3 linked regions of the Xenopus tropicalis genome follow. The protein of the gene in region 1 purifies or fractionates together with the protein of each later gene. This does not show direct contact. Links are inferred from orthologs where the notes say so. Each region holds a gene or a part of one and is shown on either strand. Other genes may lie near its edges. The genes, in order: nrbp1, tsc22d1 and tsc22d2.

Region 1 (3,647 bases):
GAGAGGCAGGGGTAGCGATGTGGGGGGATTGGGGTGAGAGAGAGGCAGGGGTAGCGAGGTGGGGGGATTGGGGTGAGAGAGAGGCAGGGGTAGCGAGGTGGGGGGATTGGGGTGAGAGAGAGGCAGGGGTAGCGAGGTGGGGGATTGGGGTGAGAGAGAGGCAGGGGTAGCGAGGTGGGGGGATTGGGGTGAGAGAGAGGCAGGGGTAGCGAGGTGGGGGGATTGGGGTGAGAGAGAGGCAGGGGTAGCGAGGTGGGGGGATTGTCTTTGTCTTTTTTTTACATTATCTCGCATTTTCATGTGTATATCGGCTACATGTACTGCACCCGAGTGTATCTCATGCATTTGGGTGCAGGCACTTACCAAAAATATCCGCCCTATGCCTCGTGTGGCATTAGCCTAATGTCTCTGGGGGGGGGGGGGGGGAGGCATTGTGCTGAGCTGTGCCTTTAATCTCTGCCCTTTCCTCCCCCAGGTGCTGTTCCTTTAATTTTCTGAATATTCACACAAAGGGCAATGTCAGAAGGTGAAGGCAAAACTGCCCCCAGCACAGGCTCAGACCCCAAGATGGAGAGTGGGGTTTCCATGTCACCGCCTGTTAGTGCCCCCCCTGCACCACCACAGGAGGAGGAAGAGGAGGAGAGTGAAGATGAGTCTGAGATCCTAGAGGAGTCTCCTTGCGGGCGCTGGCAGAAGAGACGTGAGGAGGTGAGTCCTGGGGCAGGGGGGCATGGTGTGCCACAGGGGGCGCTGGCAGAAGAGACGTGAGGAGGTGAGTCCTGGGGCAGGGGGGCATGGTGTGCCACAGGGGGCGCTGGCAGAAGAGACGTGAGGAGGTGAGTCCTGGGGCAGGGGGGCATGGTGTGCCACAGGGGGCGCTGGCAGAAGAGACGTGAGGAGGTGAGTCCTGGGGCAGGGGGGCATGGTGTGCCACAGGGGTGCTGTTTGCTTGGCGCTGGCAGAAGAGACGTGAGGAGGTGAGTCCTGGGGCAGGGGGGCATGGTGTGCCACAGGGGGCGCTGGCAGAAGAGACGTGAGGAGGTGAGTCCTGGGGCAGGGGGACATCTGGTTTGGATAAATGGGGCGCGCTTCCCCCTTAATGTGAAAAAAGTCTTAATTAATAATTAATAGTTCTACTGTACATAAATACACTTACTGGGGAGCCAGCGCCCCCCCAATAGTTCTACTGTACATAAATACACTTACTGGGGAGCCAGCGCCCCCCCCAATAGTTCTACTGTACATAAATACACTTACTGGGGAGCCAGCGCCCCCAATAGTTCTACTGTACATAAATACACTTACTGGGGAGCCAGCGCCCCCCCAATAGTTCTACTGTACATAAATACACTTACTGGGGAGCCAGCGCCCCCCCAATAGTTCTACTGTACATAAATACACTTACTGGGGAGCCAGCGCCCCCCCAATAGTTCTACTGTACATAAATACACTCACTGGGGAGCCAGCGCCCCCCCCAATAGTTCTACTGTACATAAATACACTTACTGGGGAGCCAGCACCCCCCCCAATAGTTCTACTGTACATAAATACACTTACTGGGGAGCCAGCACCCCCCCAATAGTTCTACTGTACATAAATACACTTACTGGGGAGCCAGCACCCCCCCCAATAGTTCTACTGTACATAAATACACTTACTGGGGAGCCAGCGCCCCCCCCCCAATAGTTCAACTGTACATAAATACACTTACTGGGGAGCCAGCACCCCCCCCAATAGTTCTACTGTACATAAATACACTTACTGGGGAGCCAGCACCCCCCCCAATAGTTCTACTGTACATAAATACACTTACTGGGGAGCCAGCGCCCCCCCCAATAGTTCTACTGTACATAAATACACTTACTGGGGAGCCAGCGCCCCCCCCCAATAGTTCTACTGTACATAAATACACTTACTGGGGAGCCAGCGCCCCCCCAATAGTTCTACTGTACATAAATACACTTACTGGGAGCCAGCACCCCCCAATAGTTCTACTGTACATAAATACACTTACTGGGGAGCCAGCGCCCCCCCCCAATAGTTCTACTGTACATAAATACACTTACTGGGGAGCCAGCGCCCCCCCCAATAGTTCTACTGTACATAAATACACTTACTGGGGAGCCAGCGCCCCCCAATAGTTCTACTGTACATAAATACACTTACTGGGGAGCCAGCGCCCCCCCAATCGTTCTACTGTACATAAATACACTTACTGGGGAGCCAGCGCCCCCCCCAATAGTTCTACTGTACATAAATACACTTACTGGGGAGCCAGCGCCCCCCCAATAGTTCTACTGTACATAAATACACTTACTGGGGAGCCAGCGCCCCCCCCAATAGTTCTACTGTACATAAATACACTTACTGGGGAGCCAGCGCCCCCCCCAATAGTTCTACTGTACATAAATACACTTACTGGGGAGCCAGCGCCCCCCCCAATAGTTCTACTGTACATAAATACACTTACTGGGGAGCTAGCGCCCCCCCCAATCGTTCTACTGTACATAAATACACTTACTGGGGAGCCAGCGCCCCCCCCAATCGTTCTACTGTACATAAATACACTCACTGGGGAGCCAGCGCCCCCCCAATAGTTCTACTGTACATAAATACACTCACTGGGGAGCCAGCGCCCCCCCAATAGTTCTACTGTACATAAATACACTTACTGGGGAGCCAGCGCCCCCCCAATAGTTCTACTGTACATAAATACACTCACTGGGGAGCCAGCGCCCCCCAATAGTTCTACTGTACATAAATACACTCACTGGGGAGCCAGCGCCCCCCCCAATAGTTCTACTGTACATAAATACACTTACTGGGGAGCCAGCGCCCCCCAATAGTTCTACTGTACATAAATACACTCACTGGGGAGCCAGCGCCCCCCCAATAGTTCTACTGTACATAAATACACTTACTGGGGAGCCAGCGCCCCCCCAATAGTTCTACTGTACATAAATACACTTACTGGGGAGCCAGCGCCCCCCAATAGTTCTACTGTACATAAATACACTTACTGGGGAGCCAGCGCCCCCCCAATAGTTCTACTGTACATAAATACACTCACTGGGGAGCCAGCGCCCCCCCAATAGTTCTGCTGTACATAAATACACTTACTGGGGAGCCAGCGCCCCCCCCAATAGTTCTACTGTACATAAATACACTTACTGGGGAGCCAGCGCCCCCCAATAGTTCTACTGTACATAAATACACTTACTGGGGAGACAGCGCCCCCCAATAGTTCTGCTGTACATAAATACACTTATTGTGTGTATATAGATATATAAGATTATAGGGAATGGGGCATGGGGTTGGGCTGTGTGTGTGTATATCACTGTGTGTGTGTATATAGATATATAAGATTATGAGGCATGGGGTTGGGCTGTGTGTGTGTATATCACTGTGTGTGTGTATATAGATATATAAGATTATGAGGCATGGGGTTGGGCTGTGTGTGTGTATATCACTGTGTGTGTACAGTGGCTTGCAAAACTATTTGGCCCTCTTGAACTTTTCCACATTTTGTCACATTACAGCCACAAACATGAATCAATTTTATTGGAATTCCACGTGAAAGACCAATACAAAGTGGGGTACACAGGAGAGACCAATACAAAGTGGGGCGTGCGTAATTATTCAGCCCC
Region 2 (4,389 bases), on another chromosome or scaffold:
GCTCAGCCCCACCACATGCATACCACAAATGTCACTTCAGAGGACAGAGGACTTCAGTTACAGAGCAAGAACTAAGAAAACTGCACCCTTCTCAAGAAAATATTTCAGCTATTAGCAGCTTTTTTGAAGTCCGGGGGCACTACCAAGGTCAAATAAATGAATCTAACACCAGGCAGAGCCATGTGTAACACTTAGGAAAGAAAGAACTGAGGCACGGAAGCCCACCAGGGACACAACAGGTGCAAGAGGAAAGCTTCTCCTGACAGGACTACCTGCCCAGCCACATTTTCTTTCTATGACTACTCGACTCCATTGGCAGACAATGCGGCCACGTGGCTAGGGCACAGCACAATAGCTTCCCAGCCACATGCACTCAGCCGGTCCCACATACACACTGGACACGTCTTCCCCAGTCCTGCATTAACGTCACCACTGCCGAAACCCTCGCCCTACACTCCTCGGAACCTTCCGCCACCAATCGTACAGCCTACTGCGTCATCACCAGGCCCCGCCCCCATTCTCCCCTCCCCACTTGCCCAGTTGCTCAGTTCTTTTTTATCAGCGTTCCACAAAGTAGCAGGCGCGCATGCGCGGCGGCCATTTTCCCATACTTCCTCCCGTCAATGCAGTTCTCCGCCCCTTTGACAAGCTGCCTGCCCGGCTCCCAGCAGCTGTCCTCCAATGCCGTGTGAGATTAAAGAGGAGGAGGGAGGGACAGGCGCTGTGTAACAGGGAGCCTGAGCCGAGAGGCACTGCTAGAGAAAAGAAAGGCAGAGTCACGGGGGGAAAGAGACACTAAGAGGGGAGCTTATTAACAGCCGGTCGCTCCCAGCTACTGCTTCGGCTTCCACTCGCCCCCCTTTTCCGTGCCGGAAGGGTGATTTTGGAGTAGCCGAACTGAAAGCAGCCGTTGCCAGCTAGCGCATCCCTATACGGCTAGCGTTCGGCCCCTGCTATACGGATTGGGCCGCTGCCGGGCCCCGGGCACGATGCCTGCTGAAGGCTGTCAGTGATGGCCTCTTCTTTTGCCGCTCAGCTTGTTGCCGACGTTTCCAGATCTTTGACCGGACGCACTACCGACAACGAACAAGATAACCGCGGCTGTCCTGTCATCTGCCGTACCCGGCGCCCGGATCCTGGGAAACTATTTGTGCTGCCACTGCCCCCTGAGGATTGATATGGAGGAGTGTCATTAAAGGGAAGGCGTTTGATCATTGTGATTAAGAGCGGAGTGGGAGGCGGCCGGGGAAGTGGCACCGCATTACATGTATCTGGCTAGTGCGCAGAGGAGTGGGTGACGTCCATCTGCCCGTGTGTGTCTCTATAACATACATAGATACATATAGAGCGAACAGGGCTGCAGCTGTTTGATCTCAGCAGGAGAGCCCCGATCCCCCTTAGTGAGGGAGGCACATCTTGCACGTTTGGAGGAGTGGATGTGGGTGGGCTAAGGGGTTAGAGGAGGGGAATTAAAATGCACCAGCCTGATCCAGCCGCAGATCTTGCTGCCAGGAAGATGGCGCACCCGGCAGATCTGCCCAGAAGGGGTAGTGGGACTGGTGGCAGCTCGGCTGCGCTGCATGGAGCAGTAGGGCCAGGGCTCGCCGGCCACGTCCTGTCTTCAGATGATTACCCTCCTCTGTTGGTGCAGCCTCCGCCTCCCGCCGCAGCTTCATCTCCTGGACCCCAGCAGCATCCTCCCCAAACACTGAATTTACTGCCCCAGCCACTTGTGCAGAGCGGCGCCCAGATCAAGAAGAAAAGCGGCTTTCAGATCACCAGTGTAACTTCTGCTCAAATCTCAGCCAGCATGAGCTCCAACAATAGCATTGCTGAAGATACCGAGAGCTATGACGATCTGGATGAGTCTCACACCGAGGATTTGTCATCTTCTGAAATATTGGATGTGTCTTTATCTAGAGCCACAGACCTTGGGGGTCCAGAAAGAAGTTCATCAGAAGAGACTTTGAATAACTTCCAGGAAGCTGAGACACCTGGTGCTGTCTCTCCTAACCAACCACACCTCCCCCAGCATCATCTGCCACAGAATGTACAGCAGAATATCATGATTAATGGAAGTATACATCATCACCACCTTCATCACCATGGACATAGCCATCCTTCCCAACATGGATTACCCAATGCAGCCATTCCCGGAGGGTTACCCCCAACTCCTGCTTCAGTGAAACTGCCTGCACAAGGCAGTTCTGATAGTGCTGTTACAGCAGTGCCTGTTGCTGCTCCTTCTGTTTCTCATCAGCCTGCTGGATCTATACCACCAATTGCAGGTAAAACAAGTGGACCTGTAAGTACTGGCATTACTCCTGCTTCAGGTAATACTAGTGCACCAACTAATGCAAATATTTCAAGTCTGAGTGGTGTAACAGGTTCTTTGCCTAGTGGTGTAAATATAAATCAAAGTTCTGTCACAAGTACAAGTAATGTAGGCACTTTACCTGGCAGCCTTAATCTGCAGTCACAAGGCACTACTGGTAATGGTAGCAGTGCTACTTCTGGTATCATGAACAATGTTTCTGGTGCTGCTGCTGCGTCAGCAATTGGACAGAATGCAGCACAACATCAGGCGGTTGCTTCAGGTGCAGCAACATCTAGATTTAGAGTTGTAAAATTAGACTCTAGTTCTGAACCTTTTAAAAAAGGCAGATGGACGTGTATGGAATTTTATGACAAAGATAATGTAGCAGCTGCAACAGAAGGAGCTGCAATCAACAAAGCCGTAGAGAGCATTAAACAAAACCCACTTGAAGTAATGTCTGAAAGAGAGAGCACTAGTGGAAGCTCAGTTAGTAGCAACATCAGCACTTTGAGCCATTATACGGAAAGTGTTGGTAGTGGAGAAATGGGGACGCCTTCCGTACAGCAGCCAGGATTTCAAGGTCTAGGTCCTCCGCAGATGGACTTGAGTAACGCAATAGCTCAGACTATTCCTGCCCCCAGTATGCCACAGAGTATTTCCCAGCCCCAGCTTGCTCAGTTACAGATGCATTCACAAGATGCCAACTTTTCTCCTCAGAAACTAGCAGGGCAGCCTGCTCAAGCTCCATTGAATGCTTCTGCTGGTGTCCAGCCAGCATCAGTTAATATACTTGGTGTGCCATCCTCTTTGGGACATCAGCAGCCAAGTGTTTCTACTTTGATCCCACAACAATTGCCATACACTCAACAGACTCAGCCCATACAAAGTCTCCCAGCTGTTCCACAACAGTTACAATACACGCATCAACAGACTGCCTCTGCCCAGATGACCTCTGGACATGTACCAGTAAATCAAAGTTCTGTTCCAGGGAATTTGCCGGAATACATTCAGCATCCACAAATAATACAAACAGCCATTCCCCCAATGCAAACCAGTTCTACAGTTGTTAATACTGCAGCTGTCCCTGTTGCCCAAACACATGCCATGCAAACCCAGATTCAGTCTTCAACAGCACAAGCTCCAGCAGCAGTTGCTCAAACTCAGCCTGTGGCACACCCCCCGGCATCAATTGCAGCAACAGGTCAGATGTTAGGTGTTAATCCACAAGGTAACCTTCCTGCTACAGTGCATCAAGCAGCTACCCCTCAAGTTGCAACATCTATAATACAACAGAGTGTTCCAGCTCCTTCTTCCCAGGTATTGCCTCCACCACAAGGAATACAGGTTGGTCCTCCTGGAATTCCTCAACAAGTCATTATTGCACCTCAGAGTACACTGCTTCCTGCAAAGCCTCAAAGTCAGCTTATTGACCCTCCTGTACAAGGCATGTCAAACCAACAGGTACCTGCTGTAAGTCCTCTGCTAGCTGCAGCTAGTGTTCCGACTGTTCAGCAACTAAGTACAAGTATACCTTCCGCTTTACCTCCAACGGCAACAACTTTGGGTCCACCACCAACAGTTTCACAAGCTTCAGCAGCGCAAAATGGGAATTTGGGTCAAAGTAGTAACCAAGCACCTGTGATCGCAAATTTACCAGTTGCTCAAAGCTTACCACTACAGTTGACACAGAGTTCAGGCCAGTTTGTTGCACCATCTCTTATTCAGTCTGTGGCAAGCCAGATAGAAGATGCCAGACGTATAATGGAGCATTCAGTAGCTGGCATATCCACTGTTGGCGAAGGAGCTTCTTCAGAAGGTAGCGGTGGTCTTCCAGTCTCTGGGTCCTTGCTTCCACTGAAATCTCTTCCTCTATCAACACCTCTTGTTGATGGTGAAGATGAAAGGTAAGTTGAAATAGAAAGTTAAAAGGTTTGGGTTGTTATCACTTTGAGTCAGCAAAGCCCATATAGCTTTCCAGAGATTGCTTAAGAAATAATATATATTTGGTATTCAAATTCCAAGCTTTAGATAGAATTTGGTTTATTGTTCTATGCCATTTTTAATTTGTGCCC
Region 3 (4,341 bases), about 44 Mb from region 1:
TGTGTAACTCCACTTTTCTTTAACATACAACAAAAATATTTTGGTATGATTCAGATGCTTCTAAAAATCAAATGCAAGTTCCTGGAGATATATGTATTAACAGCACTTAATCAAATGTGAAATGTTAGCATACCTGTCTTCATCACCATCAACTGGTAAACCAAAAACGGGTAATAGAGGGTTTGTTAAGGTGTCTGTGATGGGGACTTTCACAAAAGGCTTCTCAGAAATAAGAGACATTGGTGGCTGAGGTAGAGGTTCAGACTTTCTTCTGTCATCTATTTGGCCAACCAGTGACTGGCTCTGAGTCTGAAATTGATTAATATTTGACTGTGGCAAACTTGTGTGTACATTTGATGTGCCTTGCATTGTTGGAAGCCCAACTGTTGGGATCAGGCTATTACTTCTACTGACAGATGTATGGCTGCTCAGTGGAGACTGCACAAAAGCAGCAGGAGCAATTGGCATAGTAACAGGAGTGGCAGACACACTTGGCACCGTACTTGGTACTCCAGTAACACCTGTACCAGTTGCAGGCACGTTCTGTATTCCCGGAGCCATGGTAAGGTGTCCCCCTGGAATGCCTGAAACATTACTACTCCCACTCACTTGCTGATTTATAGACTTCTGCTGCACTATTCCAATAGATGGCACAGATGGTTGTGCCCCACTTCCTGGGTGCTGGACATGAACTGGCTGGCTCTGGGTTGCCTGACCGCTCTGTATCAATCCTGATCCCTGGCTCACTGAGTCACTAGTTTTGGGAAGAAGACCTATTAGTTGTGTTCCACCTGCTTGCAGGTGTTGGCCTGGAAGACTTGACTGAGCAACAGTACTTGCATTGAGAGATGTGGTGGGTTTCTGAGTTGTTCCTTGGGATTGTATAACTGTTATATGTTGGACATATTCCGTCTGACCAGCTGGCTGAGGGGACATCATGTGTCCAGACTGCACCTGGGAGTAAGTGAACGCTTGAGGCTGACTAACAGAAACACTGGGTTGCTGCTGAGTTAAAGATATTGTTGACTGGACTGTATGTACATTACGAGAACTGGTTCCTTTGCCATTCGTTGCACTTTGTGCAGCTGTATGTGACTGGCTCTGCTGCACTATCATCTGCTGACTTGTAACAGCACCAGGGTACATCTGTTGGGCAGTACCTTGAGACACCATTCCACCTACCGCCTGCTGCCCAATTAGAAACTGTTGCTGCTGAGAGGGTTGGTTCATTTTCTCATTCTGAAGCAACTGTGACACAGCACAAAGGGAACTGTCAACTGCAGATTCTGAACCGTGGCCACCATGCACAGCAGAGGCCACAACAGAACCCCCTGTGGCCCCCAATCCACTGTCCCTGTCCGCAGAGTGATCAAATGTGCTTGTGTGCCTGATTGCATCCCCAGTCCTAGTGATTAAGGTGGCATCAGAGTCCCTGTCATAAAATTCTGTACATGTCCATCGGCCTCTCCTGTACGGCTCCCCTGAGCCATGGTCAAGTTTGATCACCCTGAAGCGAGAGCTGCAAGTGGTGGTGGTGGTGGTGCTGCTTGTCGCTGCCGACTGAGAAGATACTAGGGGAACACTAGAGGCGGTGGGCGTAGCAGTCGCAGCAGGAGTGATCTGAGTAGCAGTTCCACTAGAAAGTTGGTTTGTCAGACCTAATGTAGCTCCTTGCCCGCTCCCTCTGCTCATGGTGCCCCCATTAGTGCCAATGACCCCAATACCATCCTGCGGCACATTGGGCGACACGGCGCCTGGCGTCTCTGACTCGCCGACATTGCTGAGGGTCTCCTCGGACGAGCTCCGCTCCACAACATCTTCCGGCCCGTAGTCTGTAGCCCGGGAGACATCGAAAATCTCCGAAGACACATCCTCGGTCCGCGATTCGTCCGGGTCATCCAGACTCTCCGTTTCCTCCGTGATGCTGCTGGCCGACTGGGCCGTGATGACACTTGTGATCTGGAAGCAGCTCTTTTTCTTGGCTGGCATCTTTGACATCGTAGAAGCAAGACCAATCCACTAGTGGAGGGGGTGCGAAGGGAAGGCAATCCGGATTCCAGATCCTCCTCCCTTAAGGGGGCTTCGGTAATATCCCTCGGTTACCGTGCTTAGGTGTAAGGGTTCGGGCCCAGATCCACTTCCTGTAAGCAAATGTACGGCTCTAGCGTAACACGGACATCCTGAGCTCTCCCACGATTCCCGATCGCTTCAGGAGTAAAGCCTGTAGGCCCGTAGCCGGAACCCCGATCTCCGCGGAAAGTGCTGTAGAGGCCCGGCCCCCTTTCGCAGCAGCACACTTCAGGGAAGATACAGGCCGCTGTCACAGATGGCGCTGCCGGCTCCAGATCAAGCCCAAAGCTCGGGGTTGGGGAATAGACCCCCTCTCTCCCCTACCTGCTCTCTTGAGTGGGTGTCATGTCGAGCGGCAGACTGGTGCTGTGGAGAAGGCGGATATGGAGCTGTCTCTGAGCTGGGGGAAACTCTCTCACACAGACCCTCCCTACATACACGGGACAGAGGAAGTGAAAACCCGTAAAGAGGGTGGAAAGTACAAGAGAGAAATGTCTGTTAGTGACGGCGGGGTAGGCCGCCCCTCCCCTTGCTCTGTCACCTCCGCCTCCTTTCACCTCCCTCAGCAGCTCTGCACACTCTGAAATTCAAACCGCTCACTCCCCTCCCTGCCCTTCCAAGATGGCAATAGTGGGCACTGTGAGGAGACAGCAAGCAAAAGGCGGCACCAAGAGGCCACAACACGCCCCCTTTGCTTTTGGTTCTGCGCTCTAGACACAAGTAGGGGCGGATAAAAGGCGGTCCGCAGAGAATGGGCGGGTATGTTCTAGTGTTGGAAGGGAGAAACCATAACTAGAAATTAAGGGGGAAGCGGGCAGGGAAAGCGGGTGGCACATTCCTGGGCTGAGTCTCTACCTTTGTCTTTGAGTAAATGCGCAGTCAGGGCTGCTTGTCTGGGAAAATGTGCGCATCCGCAGTAGTGGGATTCAAACGCTGCTGACTGGTTACCGGGCAGTATAGGAACTGCTGGGTAGGGAATTGGGTTAATCGCTATGCTGGCGCAAGTCAGCAGCTTACTGTCTAAAATAGCTTGTGTGAAAAGAAGTTAGCTTTCTTCTGTTGTTTTTTTCTTATATCACATGTGGTATCTTCAATATGTTTTTTCCAGTGTAACAAACATTTTTTTTAATTGAAAAGGGTGAGAAAGAATATATTTTTTGTCTGTTTGCTGAGCAGATAAAGAATTCCCTGTCTGCCTGTTACTTTGGTACCAGGTGGCATTGTGGTGGAGGAAACCCATGAATAGAATGTATAAACCTATGCAGATAGTGTCTTACTGGAAGTGATTCTGTGGCGCTACTGGGGAGACAAAATATCAGTTTGCCTTCCATTGGAATTCACATGTAAAGACTAGAAGTAGATCACCTTTCACATTAATGTCTAGTGTGACATGGATATTCTGAGGACATTTACAACAGATCTTTGTTTTTCTTAATTGTGATTTTTCAGTTGTGTAGCTTTTTGGTTCAGCAGCTGTCCGTTTTAAATTTTAGCAGCTGTCTGGTTGCTAGGGTCTTATTTACCATAGCAACCAGACATTGGTTTGAATAAGAGACTTGGATATGAATAGGAAAAGGCCTGGAAAAAAAGTCAAGTAATGAAACATTAAAAATGAAATTGTGGCTATATAGAGTTTTTTGGCTGCCAGAGTCAGTGCCCCCCCCCCCCAATCTGAAAGCTGGAAAGGTGTAGCAGAGGAAGGCAAATTATTCAATAACTATGAAAAATGAACAATTAAAACAAATTGCAAAGATTTTAGGAATAGAATATTCTATAGCATACTAAAAGTTAACTTAAAGGTGAACCACCCTTACTGACACTCAGTTTGGCCACTTGCCTGTGTGGCCATTTCAAATGGGAAGGCAGAGTGCCTTCCTTGAATTACCGTAGGTCTCTGTGTCCTGTTTTAAGATGGCGATACATGTTAAGATCTGCTCGCTTGGCAAGGTCCCTCTGGGGCCAAATAATCAAATTGTAACGACTGCAATAGGCGCAGTTGGTTCCGGGACCACATCATCGAGCCAATGCTGTCCCTGATCCGACTAATTTTTTTAGCCTGCCCAATCGATATCTGCCCGATTTCAGGCCAGATATCGGTTGGGCAGGCCTGTCGTTAGTGCCCCTACACGGGCTGATAAGCTGCCAAATCGGTCTAAGGGCAGAATCGTCCCATGTATGGCCACCTTTAGAGAGCAGAGACCCTGCAGGTTATCCCCTTGAATACAACTATAGGTGCATTTGTTATTGCTGTATTAATAAGGGGCAGCAGAA

What was found.
Region 2: the proteins of nrbp1 (region 1) and tsc22d1 purify together in Homo sapiens (affinity purification with mass spectrometry; 6 studies listed by BioGRID and IntAct, with this or other methods). This does not show direct contact. The link is inferred for Xenopus tropicalis from reciprocal best matches to the Homo sapiens genes NRBP1 and TSC22D1.
Region 3: the proteins of nrbp1 (region 1) and tsc22d2 purify together in Homo sapiens (affinity purification with mass spectrometry; 5 studies listed by BioGRID and IntAct, with this or other methods). This does not show direct contact. The link is inferred for Xenopus tropicalis from reciprocal best matches to the Homo sapiens genes NRBP1 and TSC22D2.

The regions. Positions count from the first base shown.
Region 1 is NC_030681.2:162,085,088-162,088,734, forward strand, and holds part of nrbp1 (nuclear receptor-binding protein), read left to right. Parts: intron 1-475; 5' UTR 476-516; coding exon 517-708; intron 709-968; exon of another isoform or gene 969-999; coding exon of another isoform or gene 1,000-1,041; intron 1,042-3,647. UniProt on the Homo sapiens protein: Required for embryonic development. Plays a role in intestinal epithelial cell fate and proliferation, thereby involved in the architectural development of the intestine potentially via the regulation of Wnt-responsive genes.
Region 2 is NC_030678.2:133,681,647-133,686,035, reverse strand, and holds the start of tsc22d1 (TSC22 domain family protein 1), read left to right. Parts: upstream 1-1,460; 5' UTR 1,461-1,474; coding exon 1,475-4,221; intron 4,222-4,389. UniProt on the Homo sapiens protein: Transcriptional repressor. Acts on the C-type natriuretic peptide (CNP) promoter. Acts to promote CASP3-mediated apoptosis.
Region 3 is NC_030681.2:118,455,635-118,459,975, forward strand, and holds the start of tsc22d2 (TSC22 domain family protein 2), read right to left. Parts: upstream 2,809-4,341; 5' UTR 1,999-2,808; coding exon 134-1,998; intron 1-133. UniProt on the Homo sapiens protein: Reduces the level of nuclear PKM isoform M2 which results in repression of cyclin CCND1 transcription and reduced cell growth.